5 separate regions of the Mus musculus genome follow, and regions 1, 2, 3 and 4 are each reported to be linked to region 5. The links are microRNA targets in miRTarBase. Many come from high-throughput screens and were not tested one by one. Region 5 holds a microRNA gene; each other region holds the end of a gene's coding sequence.
What was found. Region 5 holds the annotated microRNA mmu-miR-1199-5p (UCUGAGUCCCGGUCGCGCGG, at 1,448-1,467, shown strand). A microRNA usually pairs through its seed, bases 2 to 8, with sites in the 3' UTR of a target mRNA and lowers its output. Matches are read on the target gene's strand: a 7mer-m8 pairs with bases 2 to 8, a 7mer-A1 pairs with bases 2 to 7 and ends in A, and an 8mer does both.

Region 1 (3,000 bases), not on the chromosome of region 5:
CCACCAGGTGTCCTGGCTAGAATCTGAACACTATCTATGACCTTTCTCTCCCATCTTTAATCAATTATTAGTCTAGATTCCTCCCTTTCTGTGCCATTTGCTCTCCAGTTCTGATTGTGTAAGTGTCCTAACCATTCCTTTGGATCACAGTCTTTTTCCTTTTTGACCAATTTCCTCACCATTCCCAGAAATTATCTTCCTAAAAGGCAAATTATACTATTTGCTTGCTCAAAGCTATTGCCTGTTTCCTTCCCCTCTTAACGCGGTATATCTTGCAACTGACCTTATGACTTTGTTGCTACTGGACTTCTCATCTGTACCAGTTGGCAAAGCTGTTCAGCCATGCTCCAGCTACACCATCTGTCTCTATCATAGGTTAGGACACGTATCTTTGGAAAAACCCTTGAGCAAAGTCAGGTGAGTTTCACCTGGAAGAACCACCCTTTTCCGGTCCTACATTTTGTAAATTTCCATTTCCCTGATTGTACTCAAACTTCAGCCCTCACCATTTCTACTCACCCATTATGCCATGGAAAAGCTCATTCACTTATGTACAAACTGGGGCGGGGTTTAGTCCACACTAGACTCCGTTTTGTTTGCAGCAGTAGGTTTTCCATTAGAATCTGTCCTTACGTTTTACTTACGGTCTGGCTTGGTCTATCTTCCATGATGCATACAGTAATATCCATGCTTACTTCCTGGTGCATGTGATTCTTGAGATTCATGTGGAATATAAGGCACGTTGGCAAATGGAAAGCCAAGTTTGAATATGTCATTATTGAAGGAAAACATGGCTTTCAGATAAACACATTTTTGTGACATATTTTAAACCAAAAATTTTTAACAAGAAAAAAAAATTAAATCCTCAGTTGAATCATTTTTGAAACTCCTTTTCATAATCTCAATCTCTGTCTCTCCATCTCTCTGTCTCTCCATCTCTCTGTCTCTCCATCTGTCTCTCTGTCTCTCTGTCTGTCTCTGTCTCTCTGTCTCTCTGTCTCTGTCTCTCTCTCTATCTGTCTCTGTCTCTGCCTCTCTCTCTATCTGTCTCTGTCTCTGCCTCTCTCTCTCTCTCTCTCTCTCTCTCTCTCTCTCTCTCTCAACAGGGTTTCGCTGAGTAACCCTAGCTGTCATGGAACTCGCTCTGTACATCAGGCTGGCTTCAAACTCACAGAGATCCACCTGCCTCTGCCTGCTAAGTGCTGGGATCAAATGTGTGTGCCACCACTGCCTGGCATCTGATCCTATAATCCCAATCTCCTACTTTCTGGCTTTTTGCTTAAAAATTGTTTTCCAAGCTGTTATAATTTGCATAAAAATGTCCCCACTCCAAGATTTGTAGGGTTCCCAATTACATTTCCATAAGTAAGGTTTTAGAGAAGCAATTGGCTCTTAAGTTCTCAGACCTTTATCAGTGGGGTGATCTATTTATGAAAGGACAGTTAATGGGTTATCGGAACACAGTGGAACTTAAAAGGTGGACCTGACTGGAGGAAGTGGGTCACTGAAAGGTATATGTTGCTCCTGCCTGTCACTCTCTATGCTTCTGGGCCTTCTTGAAGTAAGTTATCTCATGTCACATATTCCTTCTGCCATGAAAATCTGCTTCACTACAGGCAAAGAAGCTAGTAGACCATGCTCTGAAACCTCCAAAAACATGGACCAAAATAAAACCTTCTCCTTTAGGTTGATGGTACTCAGTCACGTTGTCACCTCCAAGAACAGCAACTGATACATAACCTTTAATTTATTGCCATCTATAAAAATACTTATTACTAAAATTAGTTTCATCATACAAGAAAAAAATGTAAGAAAATTTATTACATCATTTCTAATGTCTGTATTTATATTTTAAACATGACTTAATTCAGAAGTCAGAAACTGCTTGTTTATTCCTTAGCTATGGTCGAGTCTTTAACAATTGTTTCTTTTACAGTTATACAGAGTTGTATAATTTAGCCTTAATTCATTAAAGCCCACCAAAAAAAACTTGTATTAAGACAAATAAGATAAAATATAGCAGATATAGTCAATAGATTGACTGATATCAATTCATTTAGAATAAGTACAAAGCACATTCCAAAAGTAAGGTGTAGCTCAATAATTGCATACATAATCAAGTGATTTTTCCTTGCAAGTGTCCTGAGGGCATGCATTTCATTATTCATTAGTTTGCTTTACTGAAGTAACATACCCATCATATTTAAATAGGAATAGGTAATATAATCAAATCGGGGCAGTTGTGGGGGATAAATTTCTTCCTGATGCAAAGAGGTTAACACTAAGCAGTCAACTGCTGCACAGGACTAATGTGGCACATGTGGGCAAGTATAATGTGTATTAATCCAAAATATGAGCTATTATTATAAAAATAGAAGTAGAAAACCCTAGCTAAATTAAAATCCAGAAAATTTTAAGCACTATTTTAATAACTACATATAAAGTAACATAAACCCAAGACACTGAGCAGATCAAAGAGTATCAAATCCCATAGACAACAGACTGCTGTGCCTGAATTAGTGTTCTTGTACTATACATTAGTGCACACCCTACTTACAAGAGTTCTTGTTTATTATTGACATTAGGAAAATGACATTTCTTTAGATATTACATTTAGTACATCAAATTAGGACAATAAGTAAGGATTCAGTCAGCTATAATATTCTTAAGGACCACTTGCAACTTCCTTTGCCGGTTTCACAGACAGACCTGTAGAGGAATAAAAAATAAAAATAAAATGCATTCAACAGTGCATGGATAGAACTGCATATCCAAAGGAGAGATTGAAACTTTAGTGCTCTCTTCTACTCTGAATGTATTTCTGCCATGGCAATGATCTTGCTGTGCACTTATCTTACCTTCATTAGCCAGATTAGGCCCGTGTTTTTAATAGTACATAAATGTTGGTATCTAAATAAAATCCTAATCAGAATGTTATTTTATATTTTTTTGCTTTGTGTCATAATTATATCTAATATGTCTGGTTTACCAATTAAGCAA
Region 2 (3,000 bases), not on the chromosome of region 5:
TGCAGTCTGCACCTATTTTTCAATGTTAGATACAAGTGCCAGGCAAAGATATTGCACACAGGACCAGAGGCATGCAAGCCACTGAGCAGCTGGTTAAAGAGCTACCAATGGAGACAAGTCCCAGAGGTCCTCCAGGGACAGAAAAGGAAAAGAAGTCACTGTCCACCAGCTAGGAGTTACTAAGAAGTGGAACATGTTTATTCCTGCCCAGTGTTCAGGGGCAGACTTCTAAGCAGCAAGTCTTCAGGTAGGTCTGAAGTCTGTCTGCTAAAGGCATCCTTCCCTCATCTTTCTAAGTAGAGCTGGAACACTTCCCTAGCTAAGAAAAAAAAAAAAAAAAAAAGCAGGGTGTGGTGGCTCACACCTTTAGTCCTAGTACTCGCTCTGAGTAGTCAGGTGGATCTCAGTGAGTTCAAGGTCAGCCTGATCTACAAAGTGAGCTCCAGGCCAGCTAGAGTTACAAAGTGAGACCCTGAAGACAAAGAGATCAAAGGAACAAAAGGGGGGTGTAGGGGGAACCCCTATGCTCCGACCTGGCCTGCCCAGTTTAGAGGAGAGGCTGTTCACTGACGTGCTACTAGAGCTACACACGAGCCCTAGCTTCAGGGTGACTCCATCCACTGCTGAATGATACCTGCCCAGCACACAATGGTTCAATAGCATGGTGGAAAGCCAGAGGAGCAGGTGCTGCAGGGAAAAGCCAGCAGTCAGTCTTTCTGCCTCCTTCACTCTCCAGTGCTGCCCCTCAGCTTAAGTGAAGCGATGGTGGCCTGTGGTGTAAGCCAGGTGCTTCTGACCAGAGCCGGCCATCTCATATTCAGTTGAGTTTTGATGTCAGATGAAGTTTAGGTTCACCTTAGACTGACCCTTTCTCCTGGGCTCAGGCTTCTGAGCAGCTGGGCCTCGAGGTGCACTGCCGTACCCAGGCTGCTTCTCAAGGGTAAGGAACCACTGATTCAGCCCTAGCGATGGATGTGGATTCTTTTCTTCTACCTAAGTCTTGGGATGATGTATTGTTATGGTTTCTGAGCCCCAGCTTTACTGACTGGGTAAGTTTTGGGGCTATGGATATTGCCAAGTACCTGCTGGTTTCTTTCCCCACTTCTGCTCTCTTAAGGTTCCCAGATATTCAGTATTAGTAACACACAGCACAATACAACAGCAGCCAACCTGCTACCCCTTGGTGTTCCCTTTTTCCAGCACTGGAAATGGAAGCCAGGTCCTTCCTCATATGTGACAAGCTAGTGCTTGGTCAGCTGCACTCCCAGCCCTGATGCTGTATTTATTTTAAAGCTTTTCCCCTTGTGTTTGGACCTGTAAACCACCAGAATTCCCCAAAGTCCTGACAATATTGTGGACTACAACTGATGCCAATCTATTAAGCTTTTTAAACATTTAGAAAAACCAAACCAAACCAAACCAAACCACTCCCCTCTCTCACACTTTGGCACATGAGCCTCGAGTTATTTGAGTGCATTTCTTCCTGCCCACGCCATGACAACATTTCAGTCATCCTTTCCGGAGAATGGGGGCCCCCTCTGCCTTTGGAAAAGGTTGTCATGACACACTGATGTTTTGAGTAGCAAAAGGAGGAGGCGCAAATGCTCAGCCGGCCCGGAAACAGTTCCTGTGTTTAGCACTGTGATTTAAGCAATGCTGCAAAACTTCTGTACCAGGATGACCTGTTTCAAAACTGCTGGTTGATTAAATATACATATAGACATAGATATAAAAGTCACTACGTCAACATTTGCTGTTTTCAATGTGAAAACGATAAATGTAATTCGGAATAATTGTGCATTTGCCATAGGGTCCTTGTTAAAGGTACCATAAAAATAATAATTTTGTAATAAAAAACTCTTTTATTTAGTATTGCCCTCAAGTTCAGAAGTTTGGAGCAAATGTACTGAGAAAGCAGTTTGGGATCTACTCCTACCAGGGATCTGGAAGCCTTAAATTTAGTGATCCCCAACAGCAGGCCCAGAAAACCCGACAGCCATGTGCTAGTCTTGCATTGTTAACACACAGGGCCCTACAAGACATCAACTGGAATCAAAGGTCAATGAGGCCCACCAGGGACCCCATCTCATCTCATTGGTGGTATATGCTGGGCCCAGGCAACTCACATAGAGCTCTGGGGCACAAGATGCTGGGCTCTCCCTTTCCTTGGGCTACCAAACAAGCAACTGAGGAAGGAGTAGGGCCTGGGTGGAGACCACTGAGCACCAAGGCTAAGGTGACCCAGGAGCTGACCTTCCACTTGGCTAGAGGCAGGCCGAGGAAAGATGGCATTTCAGTGATGCAGAAGTTAGCTGTGCAGGAAGGAAAGTGCATTTAAGGTTGTTCAGAAACAGATGGTGACCACAATGCCACTGAGAGGAAGGAGGGTGGGAGGTGAACAGCTCCCTCTGCCTGCCTGCAGGTTGGCCATGCTCCTTGGATCCTGTAGGTTAACATTCATGCTTTCTGATGAAGTCTGCTCGTGAACAAACAGGAACACACCTCTCCTGGTTCTGGCAGGTACATAATTTCCTCGCAAAGCTCTTTGTTGCCAAGTTCAGTTTTATTTGGCCACTGTTCTGAACCTCTGTCACCGGAACTCATAGATGGGTGCACTGTGTTCAGGAACATGGGTCAGGTTGAGGGACTGATACCTGTAATAGAGGAGAGACAGAATAGAAGAGTTTTCTTAGGAATCCTGAACAAAGGCAACTGGAGAACTCTACCTAGAGTCCCCGCCAATTATATTCAGATTGAGGTGCTAAACCATTTCCAGTTACATAAAGGGACGGTCCTACTATGTAGCTGTAGCTGGCCTGGAATTCCCCATGTAGACCAGGCTGGCCTCAGACTCACTGTGATCCATCTACTTCTGACACCTCAGTGCTAGGATTAAACATATGTGGCATCAAACCTCAATTTTGCTAAATTTTTGTTTTCTTTTTATTTTGTGCATGCATGAGATAGATAGATAGATAGAGAGAGAGAGAGAGAGAGAGA
Region 3 (3,000 bases), not on the chromosome of region 5:
GGATTCCTATGCTGCTGCGGTGAGGAGGACCCAGACTCCGGTGAAGTACCAGCAGATTACACCAAGCATCAACCCTTCCCGGAGCTCCTCCCCCACGCAGTATGGGCTGTCCAGAAACTTCTCCTCCCTGAACCTCAGCTCCAGGGACAGCGGCTTCTCCAGCCTCAATGACAGCTCCTCCGAGAGGGGCCGCTACTCAGACCGAAGCAGAAACAAGTACTACCGTGGTAGTGTGTCCCTCAATTCTTCCCCGAAAGGAAGATATGGTGGGAAAAGTCAGCATTCCACACCTTCAAGAGAAAGATATTCTGGAAAGTTCTACAGGCTGCCCCAGTCAGCGCTGAACACTCATCAGTCCCCTGACTTCAAGAGGAGCCCAAATGACCATGACCGCCGTGTGCCCAGGACCATACCCGGGATGCCTCTGCACCCTGAGACTGCCTCCAAAGCAGGGGAAGAGGAGAGCAGGGTGAGCGAAGGGGGCTGGACTAAAGTGGAATATCGGAAGAAGACACACAGGCAACTTTCGGCCAAGACTAGCAAGGAGAGAACCCGTGGCAACTACCGTGGGCGGCGGAATTTTTGAGGGATTGGGTCAGATGCGCTTTTCCAAGCGGGTTAGTAGTGCTTTGTGCAATGGATTTTTGGTAATAAGGTATCTTGAGGTTATAGGGACCAAAAAAAGACTAGTTCTGGGCTTGGGAAACACCTTTTAACTGAAAGGACAACCAAAGCAGGGCCTCAATTATGGCTGTTAGTCAGTCAACTAGAGGTGGCAATTAAACTTGACAATAACTGCCAATGTTTTGTCCCCTGAATTACTATTGAGGTGGGGAGGGCTATGACATTGCCTGCTGGGAACATTCGAGCAGGCTTGGGGCCAGGATAAAGCTAGTGAGAACCACAGAAAAATCATATTTCTGGACAAAACAGGATTCATCTTATCTTCTCTTTCATCTAAGTTCCAAGATGGCTCTGCAAAGCACTGTGGACGATTCTTGAGTTAAAATTTGTTTTTTGATTTTGGGGTTTTGTTTTTTTTTTTTTAACCTACTGGGATAAAATATCATTTATCTTGATTGCTGAGGGATTTTTTTAAAATGCCTCCCTAAATGTTGTGCCCAAGGCAAGTGCCTCACTCATCTCCACTGTGTTAGTATTTATTTTAGTGAGATATTTGTGTTTTCTGCCATGGTCAGTATTGAACTGATTTGGCTTGTCATTTTTAGGTAATAAAAAAAAAGATTATTGAAGTTAATGTTGATTGTATGGTGGCTATTTCATTCATTAAGGTTCAACAGACAAAAGATCTAAATGGCCTGGAGGTTTGTGGCTGGTTCCTTTTCTGAGTCCCCAGGATGCTTTCCACCATCACAACAGAGAGAGCAGAGAGGTGGGTGGGGAGACAGTTCACACCGCATCCTTGGGATGTCAGAACTCTACAAGAAAACAGACGGAGCAGGGTAGCACCATCTCAAGCTAAAAGCCGGAGAAATTAAATTACCATCAGCCTTGTTAGAGCAAGGCAGTAAATACCAGCAAGCCAGTGTGCCGCCGCTGGGAGAGAAGAGGGGGCTGCTTGTAGCCTAGAGCAGGAAGCTCATGGCACGCAAGGATATGAAGCATTGTGAAATACTTCCTATTTTGCAAGTCAGAGAGTCAGGTGGCAACAAACCTGTTACACATCAGACAGATATTACACATCACACATTACTCTCAGTATGCTGAGAACCTGTTCCGCATCCACTAATACTAAGCACTGTGTGCCATTTGATCTGTCTGCTGGGATCATCAAGGATTTTTGTAGCCTTAAAGTCAAGATGGTAGGAAATGACTTCCTTTACAAGGGAAACTTGTCATGACCTAAACGTTGACTCGACAACTTGATTTTATTTACCATTTGCACTTATGAACAAGCAAAGCAATGGGGATGTAAATCAAGATGAGCTTGGTGGGTATGAGGTACCCATTTTCATCATGGCTAACCAACTTAGAAAGCTCCTGGGTCTTTGTCTTCTCCGCTGGAATCTGTTTCCAGGCATCCCCCTTCCCTTTGGCTTTTCTTCCATGTTAAACAGTAGCAAGCAAACAGAAAGGTCTGTGCAAAGTTTGCCGTCTTGCTCTGCTGTTTCCAAAGAGGCAACACGTTCTTTGAGAATGTTTGGATCAATGACAGTCTTGAGTCAGTCACTCTGAAGGGAATGCAGAGGACGGTGTGAGCCAGAACAATAGAGGCACGGCTTCAGGTTGAAAGGTGTTGGTGCAGATGAACGTTGTGTCATGATCCTTGCCACCATCTTGCTTTTGTGGATCCCTGAGTTAGATAATCCAAACTGGCATTCAAGCGACTGACTGCCTGTGGTCTCAGCCTTCTTTTGTACAGTGATTGGTCACTAAAAAAGTTGCTGCAACAGCCCACCAAACTGACCACTTTGTAAAGTCTCGTGGAAAAGTACTTGTCAGCATTGATGCTTCCAGTCAAAATCAAAACAAGAACAGCTGCAGTCTGGTTTTGGGTTGTAAAGAAGTAATAAGAATTGGCCGTGCTTTTTTGCTTGTTTCTTCTCTCTCTCTCTCTCTCTCTCACTCTCTCTCTCTCTCTCTCAACAATACTTAGTCATCAGACATTTGTAAGGTTTTAGCAAGACATGCTCCAGCAAAATAGCCAAATGCCAAAACAGAAATTAAAAACATAGCAGCCTCGGGTTTAGTTATCTACTTAGCACACATAAGGCTTTGGGTTCAATTCTCAACCCCAGAAGACAAAGTAAATAATTTTCAGGAAGTATATTAGTTGTAAGAGGACGGGGATAAGACTGACAGAGAGAAAAAGAGGAAATTTTTAGGTAAGACTGTAAGGGTGTGGCTCACTAGCAGGGCACAGGACATATGTGCATGAATGCACCCACAAGTGAGCGGAATTGTTAACAATTGCTTTCATCTGGTTTTTCCATGAATATAGCTTTAGAGAGAAAAATTAAACTACAATATACTTAAAAT
Region 4 (3,000 bases), not on the chromosome of region 5:
TCATCCGGTGATGCATCGGAGTGCAAGCATTTGTTGGCACTTCTGGAGGTCAAGCTGAGGGTCACCTCTTAGTTACTTTTTTTTTCATGGTTGTGATCAAATACTTGACAAGAAACAAGGAAGAAGGGCTGGTTCTGGCTTACAGTTCGAGGGGATACAGCCCATCATGGCAGTGAGGGCAGATCAGCCGTAATCTGAGGTGGTTGGCCACACTGCAAACACAGTCAGGAAGCAAAGTGTAGGCGGGATATGGGGTGGGGTGATGAAACCTCAAGGCCCACCCCCCACTGATCCACTTCCTCTAGGCCCAACCTATCCTGGGACAAAATATTCAAACATACAACTGTATAGGGGGCATTTCACAATCAAACCACAGCGTTTTGCCCCTGTCTCCAGAGGCCCATGGCCATTTCATAATGCAACATGTATTCAGTCCAAGGAGGAAATCATACTTCCAACATCAGCAGCACAGAGTTTTCCCACTCCATAACAAGGGAAGGTCATACTAAAGTAAGATCAAAACCCAGCAGGGCAAATAAATACCAAACCCTTCAGCTCTACATACCCGAGGCTCACAGTAGAAGCATTTGGGCTCTGAAGAGCTTGGGTATACCTGCTGCTACAGTTCTGCAGCCTGAAGCTCATGGTCTCTTATAGGACAGCATGAGTCTGCTGCAGAGTCCTTCAGCTGACGCCTCCTGTGTGGTCCTGGTGTCTCCAGCATCCTGAGGTCTCCATCACAGCTCAGGCGTCACTGTTACAGCACACAATGGCCTCAGTGCCTTTCAGAGCCTTGGTGCCAACTTCTGTGACCCACCTCCCCCACTTGAGTTTCGCATATTTGCACAATAATGTCGTCATGTCCCACTGCCACCTTGCAATACAATCTGGCCCACTTGGACCACAGTCACTCAGGTCTCTATTTCCAGGTATTCATTTCTAAGCAGGGCCCCCTACATTCTCAGTTCAGGCTCTCTTAACAACCTTCAAATACATTTGCTTTTTCCAGATTTGGAGCCTTTAGTGGGTGGGGTTCTGCCCTCAGGACAGCTTTCCTAGTGTCCCAGTAAAGAACACTAGATTTCTTTTTAAAGGGGCAGCTAATCACTTTAACTTCCAGGCTGCTTTTGTACCGACCCTATCTCTAATTTTAGGCCCATTCCTTTCCCCACCAGATGCTGCACCCTCCATCCCTCTGTTCCACTTGTAGCTCTCTGGATAAGAACAGTGAGCAACTCCACCACACCTGACTGCAATTGTGTCTTAGAGGCTCACCCATCAAACACAGTAGTCCACTACATGACCATGAGGTCTCAAGTACATATACTTTAGGTATATGAGGTCTTGGCACATGCGCAGAATGCAGACAGATTCCTTGTTGTAATGTAGGACAATGTAGCCCAGGTCTTAACAGAGTCCTTATTCTCCTCTAGTGTCAGGATTTGTCATAACATCCTGGTCATCTAGACACCCCCACCCCTAGGATGGTCTTCTGAGATCTGCTTTCAGCTTCTGAGGGGCTCCCCTGCCCATACTTCTACACTCTTCCATATTATTCCTGCAGATCAATTCCAAACACCGGAGACCTGCAGTCAGCCGGACCATGGCTGTGGGTCTATTCCAGTGCCTGTTTTCCATGCTATTCTTTTTATCCTTACAATGAGAAAAATAATGCTGGTTGCTCAAACAGCCAATAAGAAGCAAAGGGTTGATTTTGGCTTTTAGATGGAAGGCAGGTAGGGGTGTGTGTGTGCATATTTACACACACACACACACACACACACACACACACACACACACACACACACACACAATGGTGAGGAAGGCAGGTGGCAGAGGCACCACCAGCTAGTCCCACTGAGTCTGCCATCAGGAAGCAGAGAGTGCATAGAAAATGGGACTAAGGCTAAGAAACCTCAGAGCCCACCTCCAGTGACACAGTTCATCCAACTGGACTCCTGCCTCAAGGCCTCTCAGCAATGGGAACCAAGTGTTCAAATATACGAGCCTATGAGAGACATTTCGCATTTAAACCATAGCAGGCTCCATGGAGTCCAGGCAAGCGCTCTGTCCCGGGGCAGCATTGCCAGCTCCAGTCTTCATTTCAAACACACAAACTGCTGCTAGCACAAGCATCTCTTTATTGGTAGTTTCTTCTCAGTTACTATTACTTTCATACGAGGGAGGCTTTGTGCAGGGTCTCGCTGCCCCAGATGTGGCTCTGGATGGAGCAGGAGCCCTGCCTGTCACCAGGTGAGTCTCCTTTCCTGTCAAGAAGCTCCAACTTGGGAAGAGTGTTTCAGCCACGGCAGAGATGACAGAGGAGAGTCTCCTTGGTGAAAGAAGATAACCAAGAGCACCATATCACCCCAAAGGGCATTCACAATTGGGGTGTGGAAGATTCATGGTACTGCCATTGCATTCTGAAGTAAACAGCCTTAAAAACCTGCAGTGGCTGCTGAACTTCACCTTCGAGCTGGAGAGAGGTTTGTTCAGCATCCTACAAGCAATGCCAAGTCTTTCTTGGAGCTTTCTTTGGGGCGGCACATGGGCGCATCAGTCTGCTACACTGTGCCTGCCCTTCCCTGGCATGCCGTACTGGGGGGCACTGGTGCAGAATGCTACTTTGGCTTTCACCGATTGCCTTGACTTCCCGGCAGCCTCGGAGATCCTGTAGACGGAAGGGAGACCGGTGAGCGAGGGCCTTTGCTGTTGGGAAGAAGCCTCAGGAGGGGATGCAGAGGAGACCCATGGCCCAAGAACATCAAACACAAGGCGTGCTTCTCCTCTCTTAATGCCTTGCAGCCATGCTCACCGAGCTGAGGCAAATCAGGTCTTAGGTAGGTCATCCGTGGAATGAGAGTGGAAAATACTGTCAAGTCCTGACGGGAAGCGTTGTTGACCCACTTACGCTGCCCTAAAAGGGTGCCTCCAGTGAAAGCCACTGCTGTACTTTCCTGACCTGGACTTGATCCTCAGTCCATATCCTCTCAGGGAATA
Region 5 (3,149 bases):
CTCTACGAGTGGTTAGCCCTCACTCTGGGTCATCGACCCTGTCCCGAAACACAGATCGGGCACCAGACAAAGGTCGCTACTGCCTCCCGCTAACCCGGTGGCTCCTCTGCCCCATCTTGGGCCTCCTGGGCAAACTGGTCCAAGCTGACCGCCTTCCAGCCACAATTGCTCGGCTGAGGCCCGGAAGTCCTGTAATGTCTGTGCCCTCAAACACCGCTCATTCTAGCTGGACACTTGGCTGCCAATGCCTTGCGGGCTTTTCTGGAAGGTGGGGGTGGGGAATCTGCCCCAGGGTTTTGAGTGGCGGCAGCGCCGCTGCAAACCAGACAGAGCTGAGCAGCCCCGGGTAGCAGCAGCACCCAGTGCGGCGGCCCCGGGCGACCCTCGGGCTGGACTCGAGCTGTGTTGCCTCAGCGATCAGTGTGCAGAGAAGGCCCGGAGATCACGGGATAGGGGGCGGGGGGAAGGAGAGTGGTGTCGCTGGCCGCAGGCTGGCACTTGCTGACCTAGACTAGTGAGGTCAGCGAAAGACGACCGGGGAAACACTCTGTAAGGAGGCCGTGGTTCAGCGATCAGCGCGGCGCTCCGCTAGAGGTCAGGTCTCCGGAAAGTGATGAAAAAAAAAAAAAAAAAAAAAAAAGACCCCAGAATGCCAGCGTGGTACCAGAGGGAAAGGGCGACACATACCCCCTGGGTAGTGAGTTCAGGGAAGCCCTTTCCGAAGAAGCCACCCCTTCAGTCAACCCGTGTGTTCAGGTGGCGGGAATCCGGAGAGCAGTGGAGGCGCCCTGGCCCATAGGGCGGGTCCAGGGCCACTCGAATCCAGCTGGCAGGTGACGGGGGCGGTGCCCAGTCCTGCCCCCAGGGGATGTTCCTGGAGGCCAGAGGCGGGTCAAAGAAGAGTGCTGGCGACGCCTATGAACCTCGGGCGGCGGCTGTAACTACAGGTACTGCACAGGGCACCGTGTCCTACCTATTTGGGCATCTCAATTCGGCTCTGAGAACTAAAATTTTCAAAGGGCGCCTAACTCCAAACATCCATGTCCTCGGGTGTCCGAGAGTGGAGTCCTGGGGTCGCCTGAAGGCTACGTGTTCCGGGAGCCGCAGAGCCAGGGCACCGAGGGCTGCTGGGGGAGGCAGTGAGGTCCTGGAAACCTCTGGAGAGGAGCACTTGCAGACTCTGGAGCCAGAGAGCCAGGTCCCGCAGGTGCCAGTTGAGCACCGGACCGAGCGCCCGGGCGGTCCACAGCTGGGCCGCCTGGCACTAGTATAACGGAGGTACTGGGGCAGTTGTGCCCCTGTCTCGGCTCAGAGGCCTCCAGGTGTGTTTTCTACCGAAGCCCGCGGCATCCAAACCGGCGCCGGCGGAATTGCAGATGGAGACGCCCATCCAGCGCGAAATCCGCCGCAGCTGCGAGCGGGAGGAAAGCCTGCGCCGGAGCCGGGGTCTGAGTCCCGGTCGCGCGGGCGAGGAACTCATTGAGTTGCGCGTGCGGCCGGTGCTCAGTCGGCCCGGCTCCGGTACTCCGCTGCCGCGCGCCCTGGAGCGCGCTCGGGCGGGCGCGAAGATGCAACGGGACATCGAACGCGAGGCTCACAGGCAGGCGGCGCTGGCGAGCCCCGCGGTTCCGGAGCCTAGCGCCCGGCGGCGGCCGCAGCCGCTGGACGAACTCAAGCGCTTCTTTGAGGCTGCGGCGGAGGACGGCGCTGGCTTGCAGAGGCAGCCAGAGACCGGAGGCCGGCTGCACCCCGCCGTTCAGGACGGCTGTCCGGTACTGGGGCAGTTGCCACCGCTCGTTGCCCCGTCACTGCTGGAGCAGGAGGTGCGACGAGTGCGCGAGCGCGAGCGGGAGCTGCAGTTGCAGCGGCGCAGCATCTACGGCGACGCCGAGGTCCAGGAGCCAGCGCCGAGCCTCACCCGTAAGCGGTCCCCCTGGGCCCTAGAGCTCCAGCTGTCTCCACCTCCAGTGATCATTCATCTGTAGGCTTGCAGACCCTTAACTATTCTCCTGGGGGTTCACCTTCTTTTCTTCACTCCCACTCCTGGAGTGAGGATCCCCACATCCATCAGACCTTGGAACCTTGACTTCTGGCGTTCTCGGGTCCTCTGTAGTACTCGGGTGCCTCTCTACATTGAGTTTGCCTCATTCCTGTTCCTGGGTCCTCAGAACTGGGTGGAGGCCTTCATGGGGAAGAGGGGTGCACACCTGTATGTATATAAGGGGTGCGGCCATCCTCCAGCTGGCAAGAGGAGGGGCAGTCGCGGCTGAGTGTTCCTTCCCCCACAGCGAGCAGGGGAGATGGAAAATTGTCGGTGATCTGGCCTCCGCGGAGACGGGCCTCTGAGAAGGTGGGAGACTCCCTTTCCGATGCTTGTCGGTCTCCCAGCCCTCCCTGCAGCACCTGGGCACTGGGGTGGAGGGAGAAGGTGCCTCTTGGTCCCCTGGAGCGCCACTCTAACCCAAACTCAAAAGTCCTAGACGCGATCCAGAGAGTGAAGAGGAGGTGGAGGCCTAGAGGCCAAACTTCTCCCTGAGGGTGTTCTTTCTCTTCCCCTTTTCCTTCTAGGAGCGCAGACCCTGAGGTCTATGAAGGTTGGGACCTGCGGACAGAAGTAACATACCCTTTGGAGAACCAGGGTAGGGTTACTCTCCAGATCAGCAGAAGGCCTAGAGAGGGAAGGGCTAGCTTTCTTTAATGGCAACTTGAAATCCAGCCCATCTTTGATACTGACTATGGAATTAACCACCTTTCTCCATAAAATTCTCTAGTCTTCCTTGGAAACCCTGCAAAACCTATGAGTGAAACATAAAATAAACTCCTCCTCCCTTTACCTGGGCTTCAGTGCAAGCTATTTTCTACTGGGTCCTCCTTAGTCTGGGTGGGCGGAGGCTGGCAGGTGAAGAACGTTTGGAAAAGCCACCCAAGGATCCCGCCGGAATGTTGGAATTCAAAACGCGCTCTGGTCTCCTTGTTCTGGACTGACTGCGGACCCGGGCTTGGAGGCCAGGGCCCTACTGCCCCCTGGTGGTGAGAACGCAAAATGTTGCTCACCGGCCCACAGACTCCACTCTGGTATCCAGATGTCAGTTTTTATAGGCACCAAAACCATTCTGTGTTCAGGGAGCTGCTAGACCGAGGTGCTATGA

Region 1: the mRNA of A830018L16Rik is a reported target of mmu-miR-1199-5p. The part of its 3' UTR that is shown has no 7-base or 8-base seed match.
Region 2: miRTarBase lists Gid4 as a target of mmu-miR-1199-5p. Seed matches in the 3' UTR shown: 7mer-A1 at 384-390.
Region 3: miRTarBase lists Map3k20 as a target of mmu-miR-1199-5p. The part of its 3' UTR that is shown has no 7-base or 8-base seed match.
Region 4: miRTarBase lists Ttc23 as a target of mmu-miR-1199-5p. The part of its 3' UTR that is shown has no 7-base or 8-base seed match.

What each region holds. Positions count from the first base shown.
Region 1 is chr1:11,974,632-11,977,631 of GRCm38, reverse strand. It overlaps A830018L16Rik (RIKEN cDNA A830018L16 gene), which reads right to left. Exons shown (of 14, transcript NM_001160369.2): 14 at 1,730-2,709. The coding sequence ends at 2,666. Among named protein-coding and RNA genes, the nearest start is that of Gm30898, 2.2 kb to the left of the region's middle.
Region 2 is chr11:60,441,633-60,444,632 of GRCm38, reverse strand. It overlaps Gid4 (GID complex subunit 4, VID24 homolog), which reads right to left. Exons shown (of 6, transcript NM_025757.4): 6 at 1-2,654. The coding sequence ends at 2,591. Among named protein-coding and RNA genes, the nearest start is that of Drg2, 11 kb to the left of the region's middle.
Region 3 is chr2:72,441,353-72,444,352 of GRCm38, forward strand. It overlaps Map3k20 (mitogen-activated protein kinase kinase kinase 20), which reads left to right. Exons shown (of 20, transcript NM_023057.5): 20 at 1-1,258. The coding sequence ends at 586. Among named protein-coding and RNA genes, the nearest start is that of Gm39847, 22 kb to the right of the region's middle.
Region 4 is chr7:67,725,699-67,728,698 of GRCm38, reverse strand. It overlaps Ttc23 (tetratricopeptide repeat domain 23), which reads right to left. Exons shown (of 11, transcript NM_001168475.1): 11 at 2,123-2,671. The coding sequence ends at 2,557. Among named protein-coding and RNA genes, the nearest start is that of Gm34140, 9.9 kb to the right of the region's middle.
Region 5 is chr8:84,009,912-84,013,060 of GRCm38, reverse strand. It overlaps Mir1199 (microRNA 1199), which reads left to right and starts at 1,428; the gene lies at 1,428-1,546. Misp3 (MISP family member 3) reads left to right here and starts at 1,341. Exons shown (of 3, transcript NM_001291292.1): 1 at 1,341-1,920; 2 at 2,289-2,350; 3 at 2,569-2,833. The coding sequence starts at 1,377. The coding sequence ends at 2,583.